3 linked regions of the Macaca mulatta genome follow. The protein of the gene in region 1 binds, or shares a complex with, the protein of each later gene. Links are inferred from orthologs where the notes say so. Each region holds a gene or a part of one and is shown in the gene's direction. Other genes may lie near its edges.

What was found. The genes of interacting proteins can lie anywhere in the genome.
Region 2: the proteins of GPSM2 (region 1) and FRMPD4 are in contact, whole or in part, in a crystal structure (PDB 4WND), measured with the Homo sapiens proteins. The link is inferred for Macaca mulatta from reciprocal best matches to the Homo sapiens genes GPSM2 and FRMPD4. Residues at the interface, in NP_001307967.1 of Homo sapiens: Leu25, Ala28, Leu29, Glu32, Asp57, Lys59, Thr60, Ser62, Ala63, Ile64, Ser66, Gln67, Asn70, Phe73, Tyr74, His85, Asp88, Ala92, Gly100, Lys103, Asn107, Asn110, Thr111, Lys113, His128, Arg143, Tyr146, Asn147, Asn150, His153; in NP_055543.2 of Homo sapiens: Gln988, Leu989, Leu990, His991, Ser992, His994, Met995, Glu996, Met997, Glu998, Pro999, Glu1000, Thr1001, Met1002, Glu1003, Thr1004, Lys1005, Ser1006, Val1007, Thr1008, Asp1009, Tyr1010, Phe1011, Ser1012.
Region 3: the proteins of GPSM2 (region 1) and INSC are in contact, whole or in part, in a crystal structure (PDB 3RO3), measured with the Mus musculus proteins. The link is inferred for Macaca mulatta from reciprocal best matches to the Homo sapiens genes GPSM2 and INSC. Residues at the interface, in NP_083798.2 of Mus musculus: Asn210, Tyr213, Leu214, Phe218, Arg242, Ser246, Asn247, Asn250, Ile253, Phe254, Tyr265, Gln283, Tyr286, Ser287, Asn290, Thr291, Thr293, Leu294, Arg323, Trp326, Ser327, Asn330; in XP_006507722.1 of Mus musculus: Val72, Asp73, Ser74, Val75, Arg77, Trp78, Met79, Asp81, Leu82, Lys83, Leu84, Met85, Thr86, Glu87.

What each region holds. Positions count from the first base shown.
Region 1 is NC_133406.1:131,414,993-131,421,828, reverse strand, and holds part of GPSM2 (G-protein-signaling modulator 2), read left to right. Parts: intron 1-1,958; coding exon 1,959-2,114; intron 2,115-3,561; coding exon 3,562-3,670; intron 3,671-4,549; coding exon 4,550-4,679; intron 4,680-6,836. UniProt on the Homo sapiens protein: Plays an important role in mitotic spindle pole organization via its interaction with NUMA1. Required for cortical dynein-dynactin complex recruitment during metaphase. Plays a role in metaphase spindle orientation.
Region 2 is NC_133426.1:12,342,886-12,349,427, forward strand, and holds part of FRMPD4 (FERM and PDZ domain-containing protein 4), read left to right. Parts: intron 1-1,012; coding exon 1,013-2,077; intron 2,078-2,456; coding exon 2,457-3,746; intron 3,747-5,374; coding exon 5,375-6,542. UniProt on the Homo sapiens protein: Positive regulator of dendritic spine morphogenesis and density. Required for the maintenance of excitatory synaptic transmission. Binds phosphatidylinositol 4,5-bisphosphate.
Region 3 is NC_133419.1:50,249,619-50,256,454, reverse strand, and holds part of INSC (protein inscuteable homolog), read left to right. Parts: intron 1-1,217; coding exon 1,218-1,389; intron 1,390-5,414; coding exon 5,415-5,593; intron 5,594-6,836. UniProt on the Homo sapiens protein: May function as an adapter linking the Par3 complex to the GPSM1/GPSM2 complex. Involved in spindle orientation during mitosis. May regulate cell proliferation and differentiation in the developing nervous system.

The sequences.
Region 1 (6,836 bases):
AAATTGTTTCAGGCCTATCTAAAAAAAATTGAATAGCATTCCACTTTGCTTTAAACATTAACTAATGGTTAATATTTGTTGGTTGGTTAGGTTAGTTAGATATGAAATAGCCTCCCAAATAAAACATATTACTATGTACTATATGAAGGAGTATATATTTTGATTTTAAATATAAAAGTTTCTTATGTTTTAAAGCCAAGGGATATAGAGAAGTCTTAATTATTAAATGGCATACCTGTGTTACATACTGAAAGGTTCTATTATAAAATGGATAGTGGCTATTTGACTAAAGAAGCATGAATATAAAGTAATGAAACTTACTTTTTTTCTCCCTATAAGCAGGCTAGAACTCAGAACTTTATATATATTCCAAGTTGTTGGTTAGAAATATTTTTAGAACTCTTCTTTAGATTTTTTTTTTTTTTTTTTTTTTTTAAATAAAGACACAGTTTTGAGTTTTGCTCTTGTCGCCCAGGCTGGAGTGCAATGGCACAATCTTGGTGCACTGAAACCTACCTCCTGGGTTCAAGCGATTCTCCTGCCTCAGCTTCCTGAGCAGCTGGAATTACAGGCGTCTGCCACCATACCCAGCTAATTTTTGTATTTTTAGTAGAGATGGGGTTTCACCATGTTGGCCAGGCTAGTCTTGAACTCCTGACCTCAAGTGATACGCCCACCTCGGCCTCCCAAAGTGCTGGGATTACAGGTGTGAACCACACCCAGCCCGGAATTGTTATCAGGGTCAAACAAGAAGGCTGACATAACATTGTAGATCCATATCCTTCCAGATACAAAGCAGTAGTTTGGTAAACCTATGTTAGTAATTGAATTTGGTTCCAGAAAGATTTCTGATCATTTACAAATCAACTGTACCATCAAAGAATAATGGTATGCCAGAAAGCATTATGTCACAGGTTCTGAGAGCAATTCCAAAAGTCTTTCAAAAATATTTGAAAAGACAGGCAGCATTAGAATAATTAGGTAGCCTCCCAAGGCGACAGATTTGAATGTATCATCATTAAATATGTAATTTTAGATTTGTTTGTTTAAGAAAAAGCTATCACATTACCGTATAGTAATTTGTCATATAGTTATAAGTGATATTAAGTAATTACACTATTTGGCAGAAATGATGGGAGAGCCATTTAAATTACTGAATCCAAAAGCATCTGTAGGTTTAAGCACTGATAATAATAACATATTAACATTTATACAGCATCTACTATGCACAAGATGCTATTCTAAGCACTTTTTATCTATACATATTAATTTAATCCTCACAAAAATCCTTTGAGGTATTTCTCCCATTTTATATATGGAGAGACTGGTATACATACTTTGCCCTTAGCTTAGTAATTAGCAAAGTTGGGATTTAAACCCAGTCTAGCTCCAAGATCTATACTCTTAACTGCTATGCTAGCTTCTCACTGACAATACCACAGTTAGAATGGGTAATGTTTGGATGCAGCATTCAGTATTTTTCATGAGTTGATGACTAATGCCCTATACATAAGAATTTTACCTAAGTGGTGACTAATAGCCTACACATAAGAATTTTACCTAAATATTTTAAATTTTGACAATGCAAAGGTGACGGTACGATTGAAAACAGATGTCATGTGGAAAAAAGCCAATACTAAAGGGAAAGTTTTTTTTAAATGTTAAAGATAGTATGTTAACCTCTAGAAACTCTTGATTTCATGTTTCAATACTCCTTTACTTTGGTGAATTGTTAGGATTCTCAAATTTATTCTGTCTTGAATCTGCTTTCTGTGTTTCAAAAAGGCCTTTTCATTTTGTCTAAAAGTAATGAAGAAAGTATGGGATATGAATATTAGGCTCTCAGAGATTTAAAGGCAGCAGAAAGCAGCAGAGAGGAAAAATTAGAGTTTTATTTTGTGATCCTTAAAGCCCAAACTGAGAATGATCATTATGTAAGAATTAATTTCTTCTTGTAGGAAGACACTACTGTTGGCTCGACAGCTTAAAGACCGAGCTGTAGAAGCACAGTCTTGTTACAGTCTTGGAAATACATATACTTTGCTTCAAGACTATGAAAAGGCCATTGATTATCATCTGAAGCACTTAGCAATTGCTCAAGAGCTGAATGATAGGTATGTTTTACATCTTTTGACCGTAACTAAGGTAAAATATAGATGCATTATTGAATCCCTAGAGTTTTTCCTTTGTTTCTTTTCCTGTGTTTACCTCAAAATCCCTTTTAAGGAATTTTCTTTTTCAGTGATATCCTCTGTATATCGTTGTATGAAGGGCTAGTCTGTGATAGAGGATTAGTCTGTGATAGAGGACTGTCTGCGATAGAGAATTAGTCTGTGATAGAGGATTAGTCTGGTTCCATATGCCCTTGACCCAAGATCAGTGACTAGGTCCCAAACTCAGTTACCTCTTCAGAAGTCTTCCTGGAGAAACCCCATCTTTACAAAAAGTACAAAAATTAGCCAGGCGTGGTGGGGCACGCCTGTAATCCCAGCTACTTGGGAGGCTGAGGCAGGAGAATCGCTTGAACCCAGGAGGTGGAGGTTGCAGTGAGCTGAGATCACGCCACTGTACTCCAGCCTGGCGACAGAGTGAGACTGTATCTCAAAAAAAAGTCTTCCTAACTACGTAAGTGTAACCCCGTATCTACTAAAAATGCAAAAATTAGCTGCGTGTGGGGAGGGGGTGTGCCTGTAATCCCAGCTACTCAGGAGGCTGAGGCAGGAGGATCACTTGAACCCAGGAGGTGGACGTTGCAGTGATCTGAGATCACACCACTGTACTCCAGCCTGGCAACAGAGCGAGACTGCATCTCAAAAAAAAAAAAAAAAAGTCTTCCTAACTATGTAAGTGCGGGAATTGTGGTAAACTTAAGAGATAATGCCCAGTGTGAAGGGGGCAACTGCTACCCAACTCCAAATAATTGTTGCCAGGCAGGAATGAAAATCCATTGTGTCCACATCTTCCTGTTTTTTAAAGAAAAGTTGGAAGTGCTGAGTTTTATATGAAATCTGCTTTTTAAATGTTAGTGGCTAATTCAGTTATTTTGTTTTACTGTATTAAAAAAACAGTATTTGCCAGCATTTAGTCTGTGATATTTGCTTTAGAAAATCGATTTTTTTTTTACCTCAGTATGAAAGAGAACTTTTCGATGCAGTTGTTCAAAATGAAGTATGCTACCTCAAGAGGTAGTGAGTTCTCTCTCCCTGCTGCTCAGACACACACTGAATAATTACCTGGTAGGGCTGTTATAGAAGGAAAATGGGGTAGTGGACCAGAATACCTATCCTTGAGATTTATTACTTTATAATGTATTTTCATATTTTAAAAGAATGTCTTCTATGTTGTAATACTTGACTATGAGTTTAGTATCATGTGGGTATTATTTTTTTTAATCTGGGTATTCTAATATGTCTATAATATCATGATAGTATGTTCTTTATATGAAAGACCAAATCAATCCAAACCTTTCTTTATATCTTTAGTTCCTGCTAGATAGCTTTTATTCTATACATAGGACCTCTTTTTCAAATAACTGCATGTTCGCTTTGAATAATATTTTAGAATTGGTGAAGGAAGAGCATGTTGGAGCTTAGGAAATGCATACACAGCACTAGGAAATCATGATCAAGCAATGCATTTTGCTGAAAAGCACTTGGAAATTTCAAGAGAGGTATGAAACAAAAAAATGCTGTCTGTGCTGTTGTAATTTACAAATTAGAGGTTGGGGGAGGGAACCCTGTTATTTCTCTAGATTGATCATGTGGCTGAATAATAAATTTGATTATATATCATTCTCTTGTCATAAGAACCCCACAAAGCATTTTGAGGTACAGATCACAGTTATGTTTGTATTGTCTTTGATGTAGGAAGACAGGAAAGTAAGGCTGGGCATGGGTAAGTGGAAGGAGAGTACTAAAATATGCCCCTACTCTACCCGCATCTCTACATGGAGAAGTAGCATGGTATTGAAGGAAAAGCATGATTCTTAGAATTAAGGACTGCTTCCTCTTGTAGTTCTGCCACTTACTGGCTATTTGAGCTTGGAAACCTTTTCTGAGCCTCAATTTCTCTCATCTGCAAAATGGGAATAATAATATCTACCTTGCAAAGTGTTTTAATGATCAGAGCTAATGTATATTAAAAGTGCCTAGCAAAATATCTGGTGCTAGCTTAATAAACATTACTATTATACTATGGGAATAAAATATTCTAAGGAAATTTGATTCATATACCAAGTTAATGTGTCCAGGATAATCTACATTATTACTTAGTATGATCCCAGAGAGCAAGAGCAATCTAATGTTTAGAGAGCTAAAGAATTAAAAGAATACAATTAGCTGTCCTATTATGATATTTTAGAAACTTGCTTTTTCTTTCTATATTCTTTAAGACAACTATTAATGGAAAAAAATTTTCATTCATTCATAGTCTCATAATTCTAATAAAACTATTTTCATTCTTCCAGTTTTAGGTTCACTACATTTATAAATAATCTTCACCATTCTTTGTCTTTAAATACTACTCTAAAATATAAATGTTTGTGTTGTAGGTTGGGGATAAAAGTGGTGAACTAACAGCACGACTGAATCTCTCAGACCTTCAAATGGTTCTTGGTCTGAGCTACAGCACAAATAACTCCATAATGTCTGAAAATACTGAAATTGATAGCAGTTTGAATGGTAAGTAATAGGACTTTTAAAACCCAATTTTTTAATCCTCAATATTTACATTAAAGTTATTTATCACAAATTTGGCATATTCAGAGAGAATATATAACATAGGAAGTTCAACTTATTACACTCTTTTTGCTGTACACAGCTCTGTAAATATATGTAATTATATATAATATATAATTTATAAATGTAAAACAATATTTTATAGTTTTTATGAATTTAGGAATGGTGATGGTATTGTTCTTTTCTTTTGTAAAAATACATTTAAATTCTTTCTCTAAGCTCATTCAAAAATTTATAAATGTGAAGGTGCCAAAATTTTTAAATGTTATTGTTTATCCTTTTTATCTCATATAGTTTTACATATTTGATTTCTGTTTAGCTCTTTTTCCCCCATTTCATTTCCAAGGTGAATTTTCTTAGGACTTTCTTTTTTAAATTCAGAAAATCTAAGATAGTCTTTTTATTTTTCTTTCTTGCTTTTTTTTTGTTGTTGTTTTTTGTTTTTTGGTGGCAAAACCTATTTTTAGGAAACCTTCCTTAGGTGCCGATTTGTTTGACATTTCTATAGCGAGGAAACTTGCTATAATGTCTCTTTTTGAGTGAAAAAAAATGCTTTTAAAGAAATAAAAGGGATAAGATTAGGATCACATTTTAAAATTTCATCAGTATGTGATTCTGTATGAGATCATTTTCCTAAGCTTGAGAGATTCTCAGTCTAAAAAAAACTGACAAATATTTTGAATCTGGAAGTCAGTGATAAATCTACCTTTTTCCAATTTTTTTCTTTAAACTCATGAAAAAGGAAAAGAAATTAGTGGCTAGTCATCTGATTTAGACTTTCAAAGAACATTTAGTGAAAAGTCTGAAGCGTGAGCCGTATAATAATTTGTGACTGCATGCTTTGTGGTTGAATGATGTTCTAAAACGTTTTTCTGGGTTGAACTTTCTTTTTTTTTTTTTTTTTTTTTTTGAGACGGAGTCTCGCTCTGTCACCCAGGCTGGAGTGCAGTGGCCAGATCTAAGCTCACTGCAAGCTCCGCCTCCCGGGTTCACGCCATTCACCTGCCTCAGCCTCCCGAGTAGCTGGGACTACAGGCGCCCACCACCTTGCCCGGCTAGTTTTTTTGTATTTTTTAGTAGAGGCGGGGTTTCACCGTGTTAGCCAGGATGGTCTCCATCTCCTGACCTCGTGATCCTCCCGTCTCGGCCTCCCAAAGTGCTGGGATTACAGGCTTGAGCCACCGCACCCGGCCCTGTGTTGAACTTTCAAATAGGTTATGCCATGAGAGCTCTCATCTTTAAAAAGCAAAAGCAAACAGTCGCTTGTCTTCATGAACCCTATAGACTGTTCCTTTGTTCCCTTTTATAACAAAACCTGAAAAGACACCACTGATGTTCATTGTCTTTACTTCCTTGCCTCCCTTTCTCTCTTTAACCCATTCCCGTTGGGCTTTACCCTCACCATGACTCTGAAACCACCTTTCAAGGTTACCACAAACCTCCATTTTACCAAATATATCATTCAGTTTTCACATGTCAGCTTACTTGATTTTTCTCAACAGTATCTATAGCCAATCATTCCCTTCTGAGAATACTTTCTTCATTCGGCCTCCAGGATTACTGTACTTTTCTGGTTTGCCACTCTCGTCTTTATTCTCTTCTCTCCTCTTCTTCATCTTTCTGTCCTTTACATTTGCACTGCTCAGGGTTCAGTTCTTGGATCTCTTCCTACCTTCTTTCTCTCCCTATTTTCCATCTGTCTCTCCTTCCTTCTTACTGCTTTTATCCTTTTTCCTTCTATTCTGTGCTTTAAGTCAGTGCTTCCAGTAGAACTTTTCTGTGATGATAAAAACGTTTTATATCTGCCATCCAATATAAAAGCCACTAGCTATATGTGGCTGTTGATCACTTGAAATGTGGCTACTACAAGAGGGGGTGAATTTTTAATATTACTTAACTTTGCTTAATTAAAATGTAGAGAGCCGCATGTGGCTACTGGCTATTGGACAGTACAGCTCTAGATAATCTCATCTGGTTACTTGGCTTTTATATTGTCTATATACTGATTATTTTCAGATTTATATTTCTAGCCAAAATTTCTCTCATAAGTTTGAGACTCATTTGTTTAACATTTTCCATTGTCATGCCATATCTTACTGG
Region 2 (6,542 bases), on another chromosome or scaffold:
GTGCTGGGGACAATTTGAGGGAATGGATGGGAGAATAGTATGGCCCTAAAATTTTCTCAAAATGTTGCCTCTGGAATCTATAAGGCAATATCAACAGAATGACCCAGTTCTCTGTCTTGTTAAATATCAGAACAAATCTCCACATCAAAATTCCAGATTGAAAGATGCTTGAAGAGCAAACAAACTAATAGTATTTAAATTGGGGTTTTGTAATTTTAATCCATGAGGAACATGAAACAAATTTTCAGGAGTTCCCGTGATACAAACAAAAATTGAAATTAATCTAAATATTAATTATGCTTAGAAATTACAGAGAAAAGTACCTTACCTGTGACCACTCCACCTTATGCATTTTATACACACACACACACACACACACACACAGGCATGCATGCTGACATTTATACATGAATATTTTAACATCTACTAGGATATCAAAAGACTGAAGATAGAAGTTTTGTACTATCATTACAATATTTATTTTAATTTCCCATATGGCAAAACTCTGACAATCCTTGACTATCTCTGAACTCAATGAGGAAAACATTCAATATCTTCCTTCATGAAGTAGGGAATATTAGATCTCACCTTACAAAAAAAGAACAATTAATGTTCTGGAATAATGGCCTATTGAAATCTCACCTTTAAGGGTAAAAGGCATGTTGTATATTTACATTCGTAGATATGAATGAAGCCTTTTAATAATAGAACCAAGGGTCAGATGGAATTAAGCTATACTTCCCTACTCCCGGATGGTATTACATTTTATCACATAGCAATTACAATTTATGCAGTATCAATTTTGTTAAGGTTGGTTCTCCTAACCCAAGGAATTCTTACACCTGAAGCCTAAATCAACAAGTACTATATTTGGGTAGTTGAAAAACTGTATTTACACAAGTGATGCTACAAGCCATTAAGTTAAAAAACAGAGACGAGCCCCCCCCCACCCCTGCCCCACCCAAAACCAGACAGTACAGTAATGTGTCTTTGCATGATTCTTTCTCTTTAGGAACTGAAAACAAGGGGAAGCATAACCTCCTTGGCCCAGATTGGAACTGTATACCCCAAATGACCACCTTTATTGGCGAAGGGGAACAAGAAGCCCAGATAACATACATAGATTCAAAGCAGAAGACGGTGGAGATCACAGACAGCACCATATGTCCAAAAGAGCACCGGCACTTGTACATAGACAACACCTATAGTTCAGATGCACTTAACCAGCAGCTGAGCCAGCCCGGGGAGGCCCCCTGTGAGGCAGACTATAGAAGTCTCGCTCAGCAGTCCCTATTGACCCTCTCAGGACCAGAAACTCTGAAGAAAGCACAGGAATCTCCGAGAGGAGCTAAAGTGTCCTTTATTTTTGGAGACTTTGCCTTGGATGATGGTATTAGTCCCCCAACCCTCGGCTATGAAACACTACTAGATGAGAGTCCTGAAATGCTGGAGAAGCAGAGAAATCTCTACATCGGCAGTGCCAGTGACATGAAGGGCCTGGATCTCACTCCAGAGGCAGAGGGCATCCAGTTTGTGGAAAATTCTGTTTATGCAAACATAGGCGATGTGAAGAGCTTCCAGGCTGCAGAGGGGATCGAGGAGCCCCTCTTGCATGACATCTGTTATGCAGAAAACACTGATGACGCAGAGGATGAGGACGAGGTGAGCTGTGAGGAGGACCTCGTGGTGGGGGAGATGAACCAGCCGGCCATCCTCAACCTGTCTGGGTCAAGCGATGACATCATTGACCTCACATCCCTGCCCCCTCCAGAAGGTGATGACAATGAGGATGACTTCCTGTTGCGTTCCTTGAACATGGCCATTGCCGCACCCCCACCTGGCTTTAGAGACAGTTCAGATGAAGAGGACTCTCAGAGCCAGGCAGCTTCCTTCCCCGAGGACAAGGAGAAAGGCGGCAGCCTGCAAAATGATGAGATCCCCGTGTCCCTCATTGACGCTGTGCCCACCAGCGCCGAAGGCAAGTGTGAGAAGGGACTGGATAATGCCGTTGTCTCCACGCTGGGAGCTCTAGAGACTCTATCCGTGTCAGAAGAACAGCAGACCAGTGACAATTCAGGTTCTTTCACAATTGTTACATTCATTCACTGATAACCATATCATTCCATCCTTCCAAGCCATTTGCCCTTGGAGTTCTGTTACATGGTGTTCTCCATTTCACAAATGTCCCATTTCATAAACGTGCTGAAACTGCCATCATAGGTTTTTTTGTGTGTATGTGATTTCTTTTGTTGTTACTTTTTTAAAGACATAAGGCACATCTCCCCCACCCCCACCCCCACCCCCATTTCTGGAAAAACTGCAATAAACTCAGAGTCCTTACTGAAAAGGGAAAAACTTGGTATTTTGTTTTAGTAATAACGGGTCCCATATTCTTACATGTCTCCAAGTGCCTCTGATGCATCCATTAATCAGTTCTTGTTTTTTACGGCATGCAGGTGTAGCCATCTTGCGGGCTTATAGTCCTGAGTCTTCGTCAGACTCGGGCAATGAAACTAACTCTTCTGAAATGACTGAGAGTTCTGAACTGGCCACAGCACAAAAACAGTCAGAAAACCTCTCCCGCATGTTCTTGGCCACTCACGAAGGCTACCACCCCCTTGCAGAAGAGCAGACTGAGTTCCCGGCCTCCAAGACCCCCACTGGGGGCTTGCATCCAAAGTCCTCGCACACCCTGGCTGCTAGGCCAGCAACTGACCTCCCGCCCAAAGTTGTGCCTTCCAAGCAGTTACTTCACTCAGACCACATGGAGATGGAGCCTGAAACCATGGAGACTAAGTCAGTCACTGACTATTTCAGCAAACTGCACATGGGGTCGGTGGCATACTCCTGCACTAGCAAAAGGAAAAGCAAGCTGGCCGATGGTGAGGGGAAGGCACCCTCTAATGGGAACACAATAGGAAAAAAACAGCAGGGGACCAAAACGGCAGAGATGGAGGAGGACGCCAGTGGTAAATTTGGTACTGTGTCTTCACGGGACAGTCAACACCTGAGCACTTTTAACCTGGAGAGAACTGCCTTTCGCAAGGACAGCCAAAGATGGTATGTGGCCACTGAAAGCGGGATGGCTGAAAAAAGTGGATTAGAAGCAGCAACGGGGAAAACCTTTCCAAGAGCTTCTGGTCTTGGGGCAAGGGAGGCTGAAGGGAAGGAAGAAGGAGCTCCTGATGGAGAAACCAGTGATGGCTCAGGACTTGGTCAAGGGGACCACTTCTTAACTGACGTGACCTGTGCATCTTCAGCCAAAGACTTAGATAACCCAGAGGACGCTGACTCGTCCACCTGCGACCATCCTTCCAAGCTTCCTGAGGCTGATGAGAGTGTGGCCCACCTTTGTGACTACCACTTGGCCAAGCGGATGTCATCGCTGCAAAGCGAGGGCCATTTTTCTCTGCAGAGCTCCCAAGGCTCTTCAGTGGATGCAGGCTGTGGCACGGGCAGCAGTGGCAGTGCCTGCGCCACACCCGTGGAGTCGCCGCTCTGCCCCTCCCTAGGGAAGCACTTGATTCCTGACGCTTCTGGGAAAGGCGTGAATTACATTCCTTCAGAGGAGAGAGCCCCTGGGCTTCCCAACCACGGAGCCACCTTTAAGGAACTGCACCCACAGACAGAAGGGATGTGTCCACGAATGACAGTGCCTGCTCTGCACACAGCCATTAACACCGAACCCCTGTTTGGCACATTGAGAGATGGATGCCATCGGCTCCCCAAGATTAAGGAAACCACAGGTACAGCAATGATGGATTTAGCACTTTGTATGACATGCCAGGAGCATGTAAACCATATTTACAACAAACTTACAAACGTAAAGTCTGGAAGAAAAGTAAAAGGTAGAATTTAAAAGGCCACAGAACAGTAAAGTACCAATCATTGATCCCCTAGTATTTAATAAATACTAAAGATTACAAAGGTGAAAATGGCATTTGCGCTTTATAATCTTGCTCTGTGTTTGCTTTCAGAATTTGATGGAGCAATATGTTTTTTTCCTAAATTCTAAATGCAGATGTTTAGCAATGCCCAGTGTGACTTTAAGTTATATGATAGTATTGCTTAGAGTCACATAACAGTTTGATTTTCTTCCCAAGACATCTGATTTCTAATTCTGCCATTTCATTATTGAGGGACAAAGAAGAATAAGAGAGCAGGGTATCAGGGAGATTGGAGGGGTTTGGAGAGATTATTTGCCTTTCAGCAATCTTACTGACTCCTCCCTACTCTGACATACCCCAGTGTCAGGAAGATTTTGAGGTTATGTCTGATGAGCTGCTTTATTTTCCCCAAAATAATAAAGTGTAAACACACATAGAAACAAGAACACATCCACCTTCTGTATCCCACCTTCACTACTCCACCACTCAATGGTATGCATTCCCCTCACTGATCCACTTGGCTGGTCATTATATGGCAAAAGCAGATACTCTCTCATATTTTCATATTTCAAATTATGTCATCAATAGTGTCTTTTTCATACAGGTCAATAGAAGTTAGTGAGATCTTATATTGGTCATTTTCTATTCCTGTTCTTTTAAGATTTTCTACTTTCTCAAAACCCACCACTGGCTTTACCTGCCTTGGAAAAGTTATCTGTGAATATTACCTAACTCATCACCCAACTGCATATTTACCTCTAAACTAACTAAGTCACACTGTTTAATCTTTCATGATTTATAAAGAACTTTCACCTGAGTTACCTCTTGCTTCTCACAAATATTCTGTGAGATGGGGATTATTTGCTTCACATGACAGCTTTTCTTAAACAAACAAAAAAAAAATGTTGAGCAACTGGCCCAAGGTCTCAACTTCAGACTTTGTACCAGGCAAACCTCATGCTGTCCTCTTAAACAGATTCACTTATTTAATTTGCATTAATTAAATTAGGCCACTTCTTTAAAAGAAAGAAAGGAAAGAAAGAAAAAGAAAGAAAGTAAGGAAAAGAAAAGAAAGAAAGAAACTGATGCCAGGTTTAACTTAATTCCCTTGAAATGAAACTTAGTATCTTCAATATATTTGAATAATCTATACATAGTTATTTTCTGTGTCTAAGCTTGATAGATAGATATTGGTAGCAAGGCAATTCATGAAATCCCTGAAAATGTTTGGGATTTCTAGACAATTTCAAATGAATCAGCAGTTCCAGAAATAACAGATTCCAGTATTTTCTTGATATTCATTAAAATGGAAATTTGTTATGAGATATCAAGATGCAGCCTTTGGAAAGCAGGGTGACCTTAGCATACGGCAGCCCTTCCAGACTACATCCTTGAGAAATGACAGACATCATGTAGCGATGTAGTAAAAATGGCCTCCCAGGAGATGCTTAATGATTCTCTCTGTTTTTCTACTACCCCTAGTGTAGCTTTGACAGAGCCTGGGAAGGAGAGACGAGGAGGCATGCCTTCAGCTTGGTCTCAACATCCTGAAGCTGATCCCATCCTGCTACCATCAAACATTCACTCGGAATCAAAGGTGCCAATTCCAAATCAAGACCCTAATGATTTCTCCCAAGCAAATCAGGCATACGGAGAGGCTGTGAGCTGGCGGCCACCGGATCTGAGAGGGGGAAGCCTCAGGACACCCCCCAGCCAGAAGGCTCTGAGACATAGCAGCAGTGTCCTCTCCGGATCTGTCGATTTGGAGACCTTCCGAGAGAGAACCAAGGGTGCAGTCAGCTTAAAGTGTCCAGGCATCACAGAAGCACAGGAGGCCAGTTCTGAAAGGCGAGCAGAACTCCCCCTGGGGAGGAAGCTCACCAAAAGTTTTTCCCAAAGCTCGATGCACTTGAGCTCCGAGGGGAGGTTTCACAAAAGGTCCCCAGTGGCTCATAAAGACTCAAAGCTGTATAGGACATTACCCTTGCGGAAGCTGGAGGGCAGCAATTGGAGATGCCGGGGACCCTTCAGCTATTGCTTCCTGAACCGAGGGCAGGATGAAGATGGTGAGGAAGAGGAGGAGAGGGGAGAGGCCACCGTCCAGGTCGCTTGCCTCTATAGACCACAGATGACTCAAGCCACGCCAGAACCAAGCAGCCCATGTCTGGCTGTGGCAATTCAGAAGCAAGGAGGGGAGCTATCCAGAGGGTCAGTGCTGAAGGTCTGGGCAGAAGACCTGCGAGGCCCAGATGACTTGGACTTCAGCAACCTGGCTTTTGATGCCCGGATTGCAAGAATAAATGCCCTAAAGGAGAGCACATATGCAATGCCTGATGGGTTCCTTGCAGCCCAAAATGATGCCAATGAGCTGCTCTGTCTCGTCAGGGCAACAAAGGAGAAGAAAGAGGAGTCACGCCCTGAAGCATACGACCTTACACTTTCTCAGTACAAGCAACTGTTGTCCATTGAGTCCAGACAGTTGGGAAGTGCCTGTAGGAAAATGGCGATGGCTGAGAAAAGCCCGGAGGAGATGCTCCTAGCTATGACTTCCAGCTTTCAAGTGCTCTGTTGCCTAACAGAAGCTTGCATGCGATTAGTTAAAGTCGTGAACTCAGAAACACAGCGGCAGGAAATTGTAGGGAAGATCGATGAAGT
Region 3 (6,836 bases), on another chromosome or scaffold:
CTGCTCCTCACCCCACCTCTCCTGTTCTTCCCCTGCCTCATCCCTACCTCCCACTCCCAACCTGAGAAGGACTTGGTGCTTGGTGGCAGGGTCCCCAGGCAGGCTGGTGCCCAGGGCATTTGAGGGGCTGCAGTAGCACTGCAGAGCTAATCTTGACAAGCTCCTGCCCTCTTTTTCTCCAGCAAGTTTTGTGTACTGACCCTGATGGAGGCTGAAGTCTGAGCTCAGATGCCACTTCTTAGGAGGCAGCATAATATCCTGTTCAGAACCTGGGTTTTGACACCAGGACCATTTGAGTTTGAATGCCCAACCAACTGCTTTTAAAGTTCTTGATCTGGGGCAAGTCAATGAACCTTTCTGGGCCTCAGCTTTCTCGTCTGTAAAATGGGGATAATAATACTGACCTCAGAGGGTTATTGTAAGGAATAGATTGTATAATAACATGTGCACTCTATAGAATGGTGCCTGGCACACTGTAAGCACATGCTCAGCAGAAGCTGTTCTCATACCAAAAGCAGGTCTGATCCAGGCAGAGCTTGGAAACATGTTCTTATCTGGCACTAATGTCCCACCAGTTTCAGGTTTGCTCCTTACTGGTTGGGCACAGAAAGCAAGGCCTCCAGGGAAGCAGCCCCATTTCTATCAGGGAGGATGGTGGAGGACAAGATGGGGAAGGAAATACTAAGCTCATCCTGTTGCTAAATATGAGGAAGAAACCAACATTTCTTGAGCATCTCTTCTAGATCAGGCATTGCCTGCTTTATGTCTTCAATCCCACAACACCCTGTTGAAGGGTGATGAAACAGAATCTCAGAGAGGCTAAGTGACTAACGCCAAGTCGCATAGCAAGGAAGAGGGGTCCAGGATTAGAGGTCAGGGATGTGAGATTTCTAAGTGACTATTCTTTTATGACAATTTGCTGTGGTTGATGACCAGGGTCCTGCCTTTGGACACTTGACTTGCTGTCTGCTCTCTAGGAGGCCCATGGAAGGTTACTGATCTCCGCTGGACTCAAAGGAGAGGCCTCCAGGTGCCAGAATTTGAGTCATTCTGAGGGTCTTTTCACTGGATTGTCCCTGGCTCCACATGGGGTCCCGGGCTGTTCTGGGAAGCCAGAGCTGGCTTCCATGTAGGGGGTGCTGAATCTGTCTCATTAATGTCCTGGGCAGTGGTGTTCACCCAGAATGCACAGGGGAGCTCCCTCTCTCCATCTGCAGGTGGATGGCGTTCTGTGCTTGGCCGACATCCTGACTGACGACAGCCACTCAGAGGCCACACGGGCTGAGGCTGCGGCTGTGGTGGCCCAGGTCACCTCCCCACACCTGCCCGTCACCCAGCACCTCAGTAGCTTCATGGAGAGCATGGAGGAGATCGTGACAGCCCTCGTCAGTGAGTTACCCTGGGCAGTGGGACCACTAGGAGAGAGGACCTTGGCACAGTTGTCTTCAGGAATAGCCAGGAAGGCCTTCCCATCTGCCACTCATTGCACCCCAAATATCTCCTGCATAGATGATCACATTTGCTGAAATCCCACCATTAATGGATCTGAATTAGGCTTTGATGAGCTCTGTTGTCAAGAGTTTCCTATTAAAATGTGTGTGGCCCTCTGAGAAGCAACCTGAATTATTGTCAGTTTGTGATTCAATGGCCTTTCAGAAGGGAGTCCAGGACAAGCCCTAGAAAGGAGTGGTGCCTCAAATTTTGAGGTTCAGATACTCAGATTGAGAGACTCTGATAGACATTTTTCCTAAAGTCTCAGTCTTTGTACCCAGTGACTATGAGAGTAATGACTGAGGAAAATGGTTTCTCAGAGAGCACCAGCCCACCACAACCTGCTGCCTGAAAATCCCACCATTGGTCTCACATCATGGGGCCTTGAAAGCATTGACTCCTCTAGGTTCCCCTATTCAAACGTATGTATCCCTGGCAGGAGAATCATAGATCCGTATCTGAAATATGCTCTTTTCTTAGTTTTCCTTTGCTAAATTATAGAAACTGAAAGGGCCAGTCTGGATAACAATCCCCAGGGAATTTTTTGTGACCCACCTCTTTCTTTTAAAAGTGCTAGTGCTAGTAGTGATCTGTGTTTCTATTTCTCTGTCACTCTCTTTATATCTATATCTAATTGAAATGAAATGAAAGTTAATTTCATAAGAAAATTTAGGATTAGCTCTTGGAGTGACCATGTCAGGGCTGGAAATATCTGAAATAGCACGAACTTAGGGGCAACATAGAACATTGGGCTAGGAGTCAGAACCCTGGGTTTGGACTCAGGCTTTTCACTTATCCATTCAAGTGGCTATGTGCAGCAAGCCTGTGGCGGTGCTGTGTGAGATCCCGCCACTCACTTCTTACCATGTCACATTGTAAAACCCACTTCACAGTTTTCCTAATATAAACAAGACATTGCAACTCGTTTCTCTCAAGGGTCCTTCTAACTCTAGAATTTGGAGATCTGCAAGTACTTCGCACATAGGAGACATCAGTTAAGTTGACTTTATGGCTGATTCTAGTCATGGGGGCAGTGGTACTCACAGGTCAGGCTGGGAGGATCAATTTGCCAATGTCCACATTTATTCAAAATTGAGAAAACATAGAAGCCCATTGTTGAAAGTCTTGGCTCGGGGGAGCTCAAGAGACCCTACAGTTTCAAGCATACTCTCTGGGTGAAGAAATCTAAGCCTAGAGGGGTTAAGTTACTTTCTCAAGGCCACACAACAGCACTAGGACTCACTTATACCAGGAGTCTCATATTCAACATCCACCAGAGCCTGGTAAGAAACGTAAATGATTTGAAGAGAGCCAGGTGGAAGAATAAAGGTGTTTGAGTCCTGTGTCAAATTGAAAAGTCCATGCACTGTCTAAAGGGGTGGTCACTGGTAAATTTCAGTTGATTGTTGCCATGTAGGAAAGGCATAGACTTTTAAAGATAAGACAAAAATTGTAAACTTCATAGAAAATTTCTCAATTTATAAACATTATCAAATAAATGAAAGTACATATATTCAAAGTGACCTTTCACTATTGTCATATATTCATTCCTGCTTCACTGCCCAGGCTGGGTTTCTCCCTGGAGCCAAGGAATCTTCCTATTTATTTCATCCTGATGAAGACGCATTGTATAGTCCACTCTGAGATTCAGCAGATATCTTCTGGGCAGGAAGCCAGAGCTCTGTTCTTTGGTGGGAAATAGCCCTCCAACTTCTTGCCATTCCCTGGAAACATTTATAAATGAGTCACTGGAATCCTCAATTTAATCTTCCTAACACATCCCAGGTGACTCAGACTGTAGTTCAAATAAATGTGCAGCAAAATTAAAAGGCACTTAGTTGGTCGTGTTAATAATTGCTGTGTCAGCAGCAATAGCAACTGAATGAGAATGAGGGGGAGTGTTAGGACCTAGAAGGAATCTTACAGCAAAGTGGGCCGATGAGCTCTGTAGACTCACCCAAAACCTTGGATGTAGGGAGGTGGCCTGGAAGGGGCTGGGGACTCCAGTGATTTCCCCAAAATCAGAGGATAGGGCAATCATTGGATAAAGGGAATCAGAGTTCTTAATACCTTGGCTAATCTGTTGTTCCAGTCCTGGGTGGTTGGATCAAGAGTTTGAATTATCTAATGGTCAAACCTGGGCTGCGGGGAGCAACATTGCCCAGAGGGAGGCATTACCTTCCTGATAGAACCGAAACGCACGTCTGTGGAAGCATTGCTGGGAATGAGTCAAAGAGGCTGAGAGACCAGATGCAACTTGGAGTGTAGAAAGAATGAGGACTTCGGAGTCAGGCAGACCTGGATTTGATTCTAACCTCAAAGAGTTACTTACTGGCCATAAGACCAGGGGCAAATCACTTAACATTTCAATCCTCAATTTCTTTATTTATAAAATAGTGATAAAAATGGGATTGTTGTAAGGATTAAATGATGTAATGAAGTAAAAAATATGTACAGCAGTGAGTAACACTCAATAAATGGTAGCTGCTGCTACTACTAGCTTCTCTAAGATTCAGCTAGTTGTAAATGTGGACAATCATTTTCTAATTTGAGGGTATTCAGAATTTAATGGCACAGTGCAAGGCCCACTGTAGGTGTTAGACTAATGTTATTGGTAGAAAAAGGGTTTTACTACTAAAACTAAAAGGTAGGGATCAGAATGTGCATTCACAGGTAGGTGCCAAGAGGTGGCAGTTGCATCAGAACCTGGAAGTATAGACTGTCTGGAGGCAAGAACTAGGGACCAGGATAGAAGATAGCTCAATTTTGTCTCCCGAACTTTCTTTCTCTCCTGGGACTCTTTTCCTGAAGTATGGCCTTGGCTCCTGTGGTTTTGTAGAGGTGTTATCAGTAGGAGAGGGACTGGACTGGAGAAGTACCTTGATTGATAGTCAAGTTGGAGCTGAGGGCCAGACATCAGGTCCACTGAAATGGGGGAAGCACCATAGATAGAGCCCATCTATGCCTCCTCCTTTGGTGAGCGTCCATTCCAGGTTCTGTGGAGCCCATGGGGGATGTGTCAGGTGGTGGAAGGATGAGGTCACTCTGCTCCTTAAAGGCCCTTAGTACAATTACAGATGGTAAATGGGGGAATTTGTTAGGGCTAAGCTAGGACCACCAGGATTAGAGATAAAGAGCCTGACATTCAGAAACTTGGTATAGGACTTTCTTGCTGCCAGATGGCCCTTATCCTGGGACTGAAAGAAAGCACCGAAGCTCTGTTGATGGCAGCTGGAGGGGTATAGTCTCTCTCTTTCACCTTTAGTCTCTTCCTTAAGGCAAGCTTAGCAGCAGGCTAGTGTGCATTACCGGAGACATAAATGGACTGGGAGCTCCTTCCCGACTCACAGACTTTATATCTCTTTTTCCTTTGGTCTAGAATATTCTGTTTCCCCAAGTATTTTTATGACTGGCCCATTTCTTCCCTCAAGGTCTCAGCTGTAAAGTCACATTCTTAGGGACACCTTTTGTTGCACACCTCAGCAGACCGCTAGTTATTCTCTCTTAGCACTTGTTTATTTTCTCCCTTGTGTTTATCAGACTTTGTAATTATGTATAGTAATTTTTTTAAAGTTTATTTTCTCTTGCCCACTAGTAGAGTGTGAGCTCAACAAGGGCAAGGACCTGACCTGTTTTGTTCACTATGCCATCCCAAGATCCCAGTGGTGCCTGACACATAGTTTTCATTCAATAAATACTTATTGGATGAAGGATTGAGTAGAGTTACATACCAGATTTCAAATCCCATTTGCCACCTGTGTAGACAGATACTGTTCCCTCTTAGTAGCCACTTTCCTCATCTGTAAAATGGCTATTATAACACCTGCTCAAAAGATCTCCCAGAGCTACTGTGGGAACCAAATGAGACAACTGATATGAAAACACTTGGCACGGAAGTTATTTTCTTTCTCGTTGCCATCCAGAACTGTGCCAAGAGGCCTCCTCAGGGGAAGTCTTCCTGCTGGCCTCTGCGGCCCTTGCCAACATCACGTTCTTTGATACAATGGCCTGCGAGATGCTCCTGCAGCTGAACGCCATCCGTGTCCTCCTGGAAGCCTGCAGTGACAAGCAGAGAGTGGACACGCCTTACACTCGGGACCAGGTAAGATGCCCAGAAGGCACTGAGCCCAGGGCCCATGGCCATGGATACAGAGGTTAGGAGGCCAGCGCTTAGTTTCTGAGGCAGGGGAGAGAGCATGGGGGTACTGTTAGTTTTGCATGCTATAGGAAGGTAAATATTCTCCACATTTCTCATTGACTTTGAAGCCTCTTATGAGACCTCCTACCCCCTTTACCCATCCCATTATGAGTTTTACATGCTGCAGGAAGGTAAAGGAATATGTTTTCCATGTCTCTCATTGACCTTGAAGCCTCTCTATGAGATCTCCTACCTGCTTTGTCCATCCCAGCCACTATAGGGCCTTCCTCAATCTCTGTTCAGATTGCCTGTTCTTGGAGACAGAAAGACCCATGGAAGGTGCCTAGACATCCTCTGAAGGTCTGTGTCTGGTCATGTTGGTGACCATCTGACACTGAACCCTATAGTGAACTGCTTCCCTCTTTACCTCCATGAGAAACAGGGGCTTGGAGCAGAACCTTCATTCGGGGCCTCAGCCTCCACATCAGTCATAATTTTCTTTGTATATTTGAGCTCCATGAAAGGTTTTCTTTGGTAGAAAAGGGGTTTTACTACTAAAAGTGTTCGAAGACATAGAATGGGGGTATTTTAAAGGCTCTTTGAACTCTGATGTTCTAGAATTTTATCCCATTTCACCTCTGGCCACACTTGGCCTCCCACATCACCACCAAGCAGTAGGGGTGGTAGCTTAGGTGGTCTCTGTAAATTCCTCCCAGTACCTGAGCTCTAAGTTACATGATCCTCTCATCCTCAACTCAGCTTATCCCTGTCTGCATTTTAGCCCCCACAACATCACCTCTGCCAGCCTTATCTCTTAACTGAAGCTGCTTTGGTTTCTGTTCCATGCCAGCAGCTCCAGGAAGGCCTTCCCTGATGGTTTTGGCTCTCTGGAATTGCCTCCTTTTCTTAGAATTCATGCCTCACAATGCAGTGTTGACTTATCTAATAACATTTATTCCTCTTAATTATTTCATGTGATTTTCTTCCTCTGAGGGCATGATCCATGTTCTGTATTTCCCTAGGATTTTTAAAGGCCTCTAGTGTAGAGCTGGTGCCTTTGGTGAAGTTCCCCGAACTTTGTCAGTTATTTCTTATCCTTAGAATCGCCTGTGAAAGGGCAGCTGACCATAGAAGCTCCTGTTCGGAGAGAATTTTCTAGTATCTAAGCATTTGTATATGAGGGTTCTAAAAATACTGTGACACTGGT